2 linked regions of the Lytechinus pictus genome follow. The protein of the gene in region 1 purifies or fractionates together with the protein of each later gene. This does not show direct contact. Links are inferred from orthologs where the notes say so. Each region holds a gene or a part of one and is shown in the gene's direction. Other genes may lie near its edges.

Region 1 (3,600 bases):
CTTCATATAATAAAATACAAAAGAAACAGTGAGTGGATGATGTCATCAGTTTCCTCATTTGCATACCAACCATGATGTGCATATAACTGTTTTGTGAAATTAAGTGAAACTTTAAAATGTCATAACTTATTTTACATCCAATTTTGATGAAATTTTCAGTGTTATGCTGGTTGGATTTTTCTTGATTTGTTCAGGTGGACTATTTGTTGGGGTGGACTTGTCCTTTAATACATCTCGAGTTGTGTGCCCCGCAAAACTGATTGTGTTATAGGTCCTTGTGTCCAATTGACTCACAAACATTGTTTCTTCAACTATCATGATAGAAGCATGCATAGAAGGTGGAGAAACAGGGGAGGGTAGAGAGAGGGGATAGAGAGATGAGGCCGCTCCTAGGTGAGGGAGGGAGGTAGGGAGAGCGAGAGGGAGAGAGCAAACAAATACCAACAAAGCAAAACGTGAGTTTACAAACTGGAGTAAACTCATGAAGACCATATACGTCTCGTGACATATCAAAGTGGATGCCATATGCTTTTACACATGGACTTCCAAAATGGACCCTGAACAAGTCATAATCCTCAATCAGATATCTAACCAAATATTTTGTCATGTCTTTTTTTAATCCTAAAATGCCTGAAATATATCACTGTCATGATAGGGTAGAAAACTGTTTTTCTTGATTTTGGCCTTGTCACTATATGACGTTACATTCCTCGCTGTGATAACCCTCTTTTATATACATGCTTTTGTGTACTTTCACAGTGTCCACATTGAAATGGCAGTGCCAGTCCTCCCCAAAGCCTCATTGATTTAATATTCACATCTAAGTTATACACATGCCCCGTTATTTCACTAAAATGATGCCCTTGTTGTGGCTCATTCTGGTAAAATCTGCCCCCCGCAAAAAAAAGAGAAAGCCAGTGGAAGATATATTTTTTTCATTTATAATTAAATCGTAGACTATTAAATTGAAATTGAATTGGATTGATTGAATCGAAAAAAATCAAGTAGGGTGGAAAAACGGTACTATCATCTAGTAAATAATTAATTCGGTGCCCCGCGGTGTGGGGCCTTCACTGACCCCCTTCAATTTTTTTCTTTTTAATTGCTGGCGCGGCGCTGAAGTAAATTCGCCAATACCATTCACGATAACATTCGTGATTTCGATTCGGCTGCGCTGATATTAAAGGAAAGTACGAAAGAAAAGGATACAAAATGGGGACACCTCTAAAAACATACGGGAAGAAGCCCGATGTCTTCCATTTTGAAGAAGGAGGAGAGCAATATATGATTGGTTCTGAAGTAAGTAAAATTCGTTTTATTGATATTTTGCCTCAAATTAGTGGTAGGAAAAGACACACTCGCTGACATGACACAGTCAGTCTGTGCAGTGTGTGGCACGTCGCGGAACGCATCCCCTGCCCGGCGTCAGCCCAAAGCCAAAGGCCAAATCCTTTGTTCGCTGTGCGCTGAATTCCTGCGGCTGCGCTGCCTTTTTTTGTGGGGGGGGGGGGGGGGGGGAGGGGACTTTCATATACATGCCCACTCTACCAAAAGCAAAAAAAAATAAATTATGTGATCTTGAACTAGAAGATATTAAAAATTAAAAATTAGGGCCAAATTGTGGTTTCGGGAACCACTCGTCGATTATTTTATTTGTTCGCGTGCACTTTAAGTTCTAACATTAACATTAATTATTTAAAGTTAAAGTTAAACGTTAGTCAGCAGAGTCGAGGTGGATTACGTTAGGGTTTATTACATGCCACCGCACACAGAAAAATCAAGCCATAGATGATAAGAAGTCGTGTGTTGTGGACACCAGACAGTAGAGGCGCACAGCCAATATTGGAGACTGTCTCCAATGTGGGAGATTATCTCCAATATCAGAGACTTTTGTAAAGAATTTGGGTAGGCCCCCCCTATCCAATTTCAGAGACAGTCTCCAGTTTTGGAGACCAATTTCCTTTGTTTACATTTGCTGCAAAAGGATTACCTTGGCGGCAAATAAAAATGTGCTAAGGAGATTCCTCATGAAAAATTGCCCCTTTTCACCGTCTACTTTAAAAATTCACCGTCTACTTTTGTTTTGATAAGGATTTTCGTTGTCAATCACACACAAAACAAATGGGCTTCTGACCTCAGTGAGACAAAATTTTGGATGGAAAAAATCATGCTATTGTTGGTGTTGTTTCTTTTGTCCTTTTGCAAAGCAAAGGTGGTGCTGCACCATCCCGAGTTTGCTCAATCTCGAGATTTTAGCCCGATCGGCCCACTTCGCGATTAATCTCGAGATTCAAGAAACCCCGTCTGCACCATCGCAAGACAGCGATTCCTGCTCGAGCGAGGCAACAAACCCGATATTTCGAGCATGCGCACTTTCGGATCTTGGAGTTTCAACGGCCCGCGCTTTTGAATAACTTCCCGCGATATGCAAGCAATGTACTCCTTTCACTAGCACTTTCGCCGAATTCGACCGGTGTTATGCAACAATCCTCTCAGCCCAGCGAGTGAAGAAGTGATGTATTCTTCGTTAAATATGAGTAGGAGACAACGACAGAGAGAGAGAGAGAGGGAGAGAAGGAGGAAAGAAATGCTATTTGCTCACATTTTGCGAAGGAATAAGACAACACTGCTGTCAGTGTTGTTATTGAATATGACCATCGTCGATGAGCGCCTCCCCCTTCGGTCTGGTCTCTCCCAAAATCCATTCACTGGTGGGACACCATCGTTGCTTATTAGGCAATTGATGAACGCTATTCGCATGTATAAAGTTGACTTTCGCACGTGTTTATGTTTTGACCAAGGCGGAAGTGGAACGCGAATTGCATTATGGACTGACGTCATGAATAAATTACCCTGAGTCCAATCTCGAGTGCGTCTGCACCGACGAATTAGCGGGATAATTCGTAAAATAGCGCGCTATTTTGCAAATAAACCCGAGTTGACTTGGGATTGCAATCTCGAGATTAATCCTACGAACTAGCGCGATAATTGCGTCTCCACCGCCAACTATCTCGAGATTTTTCAGATCGGGATAATTTGCCGGATCAGAAATAGCGCGCTAATTTGAAAACTCGGGATGGTGCAGACGGCCCTTATGTCTCCAATGTGGGAGATTGTCTCCCCTATTGGAGAGAGTCTCCCATATTGGCCGTGCGCCTCTACTGCCAGAAGTGGGATCGCAGCACGCGCGACCCACTACTAGTTAGAAATCCACTGCCAAACGCGGTTCATGGTGGGAGGTTAGTATATTAACCTCGCAATACGTGTGAGTGACGTTAGAGAACCGATGCGTGTGACCGAATAAAGACACTGCTGTGTTCCCTATTTCACGAAATTATGCCAGGGATTGCCAGATTTAGGATGGAAAAGTTGTATGTGGCTTTAGATCTAGATCTATAGTCGGAGTCTAGACCTCTAATTATATTCTGAATTCTGTCAAATTTTCGTGCATGATCAAGTAGGCCTAGGCTAGGCTAGAGTATATTAGTGGATCATATATTTACTACCAATCACTGTTTATAGTCATACTATTATAGATCTACAGTACATTCAATCATATTTCTTGAAATTTATCAAACTTCCACCATAGATCTACACAAA
Region 2 (3,834 bases), on another chromosome or scaffold:
ATTAGTCAGTACCACATTGAACTCACATTTTTGATGATATCTGCTTGCAAAATGATGATATTGTGATGCTTGTTGAGGATATCAGATTTCTTCGGAACTGGGCGTTAACGGTGACAAATTTGCTGATCTTTTGTCAATATTTTCATGAATACTGACCTCATCCTGAAGGAACTTACACCAAAAGGTAATTTTTTTAGGTCGCTTTTCACGTTGATGATGTCAGATTTTAAAGGAGAATGAAACTCTTGGAGCAAGTTAGCTTTTGTGAAAGCAGAAAAATCAAAGAATAAGATCAACAAAAGTTTGAGTAAAATAGGACTAGCAATAGAAGAGTTATGAGCATTTGAATGTCGAGATCACTAATGCTATGGAGATCCTCCCATTGGCAATTAAATGCGACCAAGATCTATGATGTCACAGATGAACAACTCTCCCCTTTTGGACACTGAAAATATACCCCAAAACATCTATTTTTGCTCATTCTAATCATATGACAAACGATTCATCAATGATATAATGTTGTGAAACCTCTGTACTTGTCCTCTCATAAAGAGAACACCTCACCTTGTGATAGACTCTATAAAAGTGAGAATATAAGTGAAATAAGTACTAAAGTAATGAGGGAGTTGTACGTGTGTGACATCACAGATCTTGGTCGCATTGCCAATAGGAGGATCTACATGGCATTAGTGATCTCATTATTCAAATGCTCATAACTTTCTTACTATTCATTCAATCTTCCTCAAACTTTCAACAATATGTTTCTTTGATTTTTCTCTTTGATATGGATTCAGCTTGTTTCAAGGGTTTCATTCTCCTTAAAGGATATTGGCTATTTTTTTAGATAATGACCGTCCGCGAAGTTTGGACTCATTGCCATACTCGACTCCTACTTCCTAACGAGTAACGTTAACGTTAGACTAGTCTCAAACACGGGTTGGTCGTTGACGTTGGATGAGTGCGCTGCATTGGGCTTCCGCTTGGGGTGTTGTTTCGCATTAATTGCGATTGATCGGCGCTAAAGCAGTTTCGCACTGCCACTGGCCGAATTTCAGGGAATTTTTTTCAGCATGTTTCCGATTCCCCAAATAAAAAGGGCACAAATAATAATCGGTTGCAGCTACCTCAAGTGAGGTTCGTGCAGGCTCCACTCCACTTCACTACCGCTACACTACGCTCCATCTACCTGAACCTCAATGTGGTGAACTCGCTCTGATACTTTGAGTGACAAAGGTGGGAGAAAATGCATGTTTATTTGTAAAAATCCTACACCGAAATGAGCTTAAAAATAATAAGAAGCTAAATTTCTTACTTTTCATCCTAATTTCACTCCATATCCATCCTCCTGTTAGCCGCAAAATTGGTTATTTAGAGCCAGCATCGAGTTCCTCACTCTTATAAATAATTCGCTGCTGATTTGAAAACATCGCATCCGCATGCGTGAGGGTCTGAGTTGCGACTTGACCTTTGAGAGCCAAGTTGTATGATGAATAGTATCAGAAAATATAGCATTTGTCCCCAAGAACAAGAGAAAATAAGCCAAACATTGCCAACTTTATTTCACCACACAGAGAGTACTAACAGAGAACAAGGATATCATTGTGAATCACTTTGAGTAGTCGTAGATTGATAAAGCGCTGTATAGAGTCTAAAAGCTTTATTATAACTATTATCATAAACTTGATCATTGAATGAGTGAGGCCCATCGTGATCAGGAATGGCTGTATTATTTTCAGCTCGATCTTGACAGGCAAATGGATCTACCGGTACTGTGAGTGACTGAGGGTGATGTGAGAAAATGAAAGGGTCAGGCTCTTGGGGATAATGAATCACAGTAATGAATTATTTTGATACATTTCAAAAGTTCATAAAGTTTTGATAAATCATGTAAATTTGATAATTGTATTGCTGAACATCTGAAGTCGGAGGTTAGACTGGCTTTGGATTCAGTCTATGCTCACTTGCGTAATGAGCTACTTGTATACTCAGGGATTTAGCTATGGTGCAACTCAAATGACAGCATCATCGGTCAATAGCTTCAAGACGAAGCTAGACAAGTTTTGGTCTTCGTTGCATTATGTCCACCCATGGGAACAGTGACCTTTTTCACTGCATGTTACAGCACACAGACTCAGAATGAGAAATTTAATACCCTAGATAGGAAGACAACATACAAGATTGACCTGGAAACTTGTCTGCAGAAACAACTGTATTTTTCCAGTAGATCCGGTGTAAAGGTATAAAATACGTCATTGCCTCATTGGATAAATAAACATTCCATACACCCGTTAAAGTAATAGCCTCACTCTTCATTCTTGGTGTATTCTTTTATCTCCTCCTTTTCCTAGACCTGTCCACTTCTTCTGAGGGTGTTCTGTAATAACAATCGTCACCATCAGGAACACGAGTTTTCTCGAGGAACAGTCCCAGCCAACGAACTCCAGATCTACACATGGTAAGTTGGTTGTAGAGGTTTGGTGGTCGAGTGGTCTCTGAAGCACCTTAAAAGTGCGTGGTACCTACATGTATATGCCTTTGATCAAGGCATTTTATAATCAACAATGCTGCTTTATGGTCTGTAAAAAATAAATGGAAATAGAAAAGTAGCATAAAAGGAACATGCTGAAGCTTTTCGACATGCGGTCATCCGAGTAAAACCTGCCCGTTAAGCCAAACATCAAAATTAAACAACTAAATAAACCCTAATCCTTATATTTACATCATTCTGAACCAAAAACTCAATCCAAACTCTAACCCATGCCCCTTGAGATATTAAATCCGGAGCAAATGTCGCAACAGCAAATGTGTCACCAATATATCCCCAATGAATGTCAAACATTTTTGAGTTGTGTTCTCCTACCACCTTTTTCGTTGCGACTATTACAGAATGTTTTTCCTGGTATCATGCTTAGTTTGATTGGGGTAATGGGAATTGTTGTCCTGTGCTTTTGCACCGGAATCATGTGCACAAAAGTTTGTCCGCGTACCATTTATACTTATTTTTATTGTCTGAGGAGTACTTTTGCCAAGATTTGCCTTTTACTGTTTTTTGTCTCACCTGCATAGCAGAGTGAGACTATAGGCGCCGCTTTTCCGACGGCGACGGCGGCGGCGTCAACACCAAATCTTAACCTGAGGTTAAGTTTTTGAAATGACAGCATAACTTAGAAAGTATATGGACCTAGTTCATGAAACTTGGCCATAAGGTTAATCAAGTATTACTGAACATCCTGCCTGAGTTTCATGTCACATGACCAAGGTCAAAGGTCATTTAGGGTCAATGAACTTAGACCATGTTGGGGGAATCAACATCAAAATCTTAACCTAAGGTTAAGTTTTTGAAATGTCATCATAACTTAGAAAATATATGGACCTAGTTCATGAAACTTATACATAAGGTTAATCAAGTATCACTGAACATCCTGCTTGAGTTTCACATCACATGACCAAGGTCAAAGGTCATTTAGGGTCAATGAACTTTGGCCAAATTGGGGGTATCTGTTGAATTACCATCATAACTTTTAAAGTTTATGGATCTGATTCATGAAACTTGGACATAATAGTAATCAAGTATTACTGAACATCCTGTGCAAGTTTCAGGTCACATGATCAAGGTCAAAGGTCATTTAGGGTCAATGAACTTTGGCCAAATTGGGGTATTTGTTGAATTACAGCCATAAATTTGAAAGTGTGTTGGTCTAGTTCATAAAACTTGGACATAATAGTAATCAAGTATCACTGAACATCCTGTGCGAGTTTCAGGTCACATGATCAAGGTCAAAGGTCATGTAAGGTCAAAGAACTTTGGCCACGTTGGGGGTATTTGTTGAATTG

What was found. Proteins that work in one complex are often made in the same cells at the same time.
Region 2: the proteins of SWI/SNF-related matrix-associated actin-dependent regulator of chromatin subfamily B member 1-like (region 1) and histone deacetylase complex subunit SAP18-like fractionate together in Homo sapiens (co-fractionation; 3 studies listed by BioGRID, with this or other methods). This does not show direct contact. The link is inferred for Lytechinus pictus from reciprocal best matches to the Homo sapiens genes SMARCB1 and SAP18.

What each region holds. Positions count from the first base shown.
Region 1 is NC_087246.1:18,204,810-18,208,409, forward strand, and holds the start of SWI/SNF-related matrix-associated actin-dependent regulator of chromatin subfamily B member 1-like, read left to right. Parts: upstream 1-1,135; 5' UTR 1,136-1,212; coding exon 1,213-1,299; intron 1,300-3,600.
Region 2 is NC_087248.1:29,154,294-29,158,127, reverse strand, and holds the start of histone deacetylase complex subunit SAP18-like, read left to right. Parts: upstream 1-1,436; coding exon 1,437-1,481; intron 1,482-2,348; coding exon 2,349-2,455; intron 2,456-3,834. UniProt on the Homo sapiens protein: Component of the SIN3-repressing complex. Enhances the ability of SIN3-HDAC1-mediated transcriptional repression. When tethered to the promoter, it can direct the formation of a repressive complex to core histone proteins.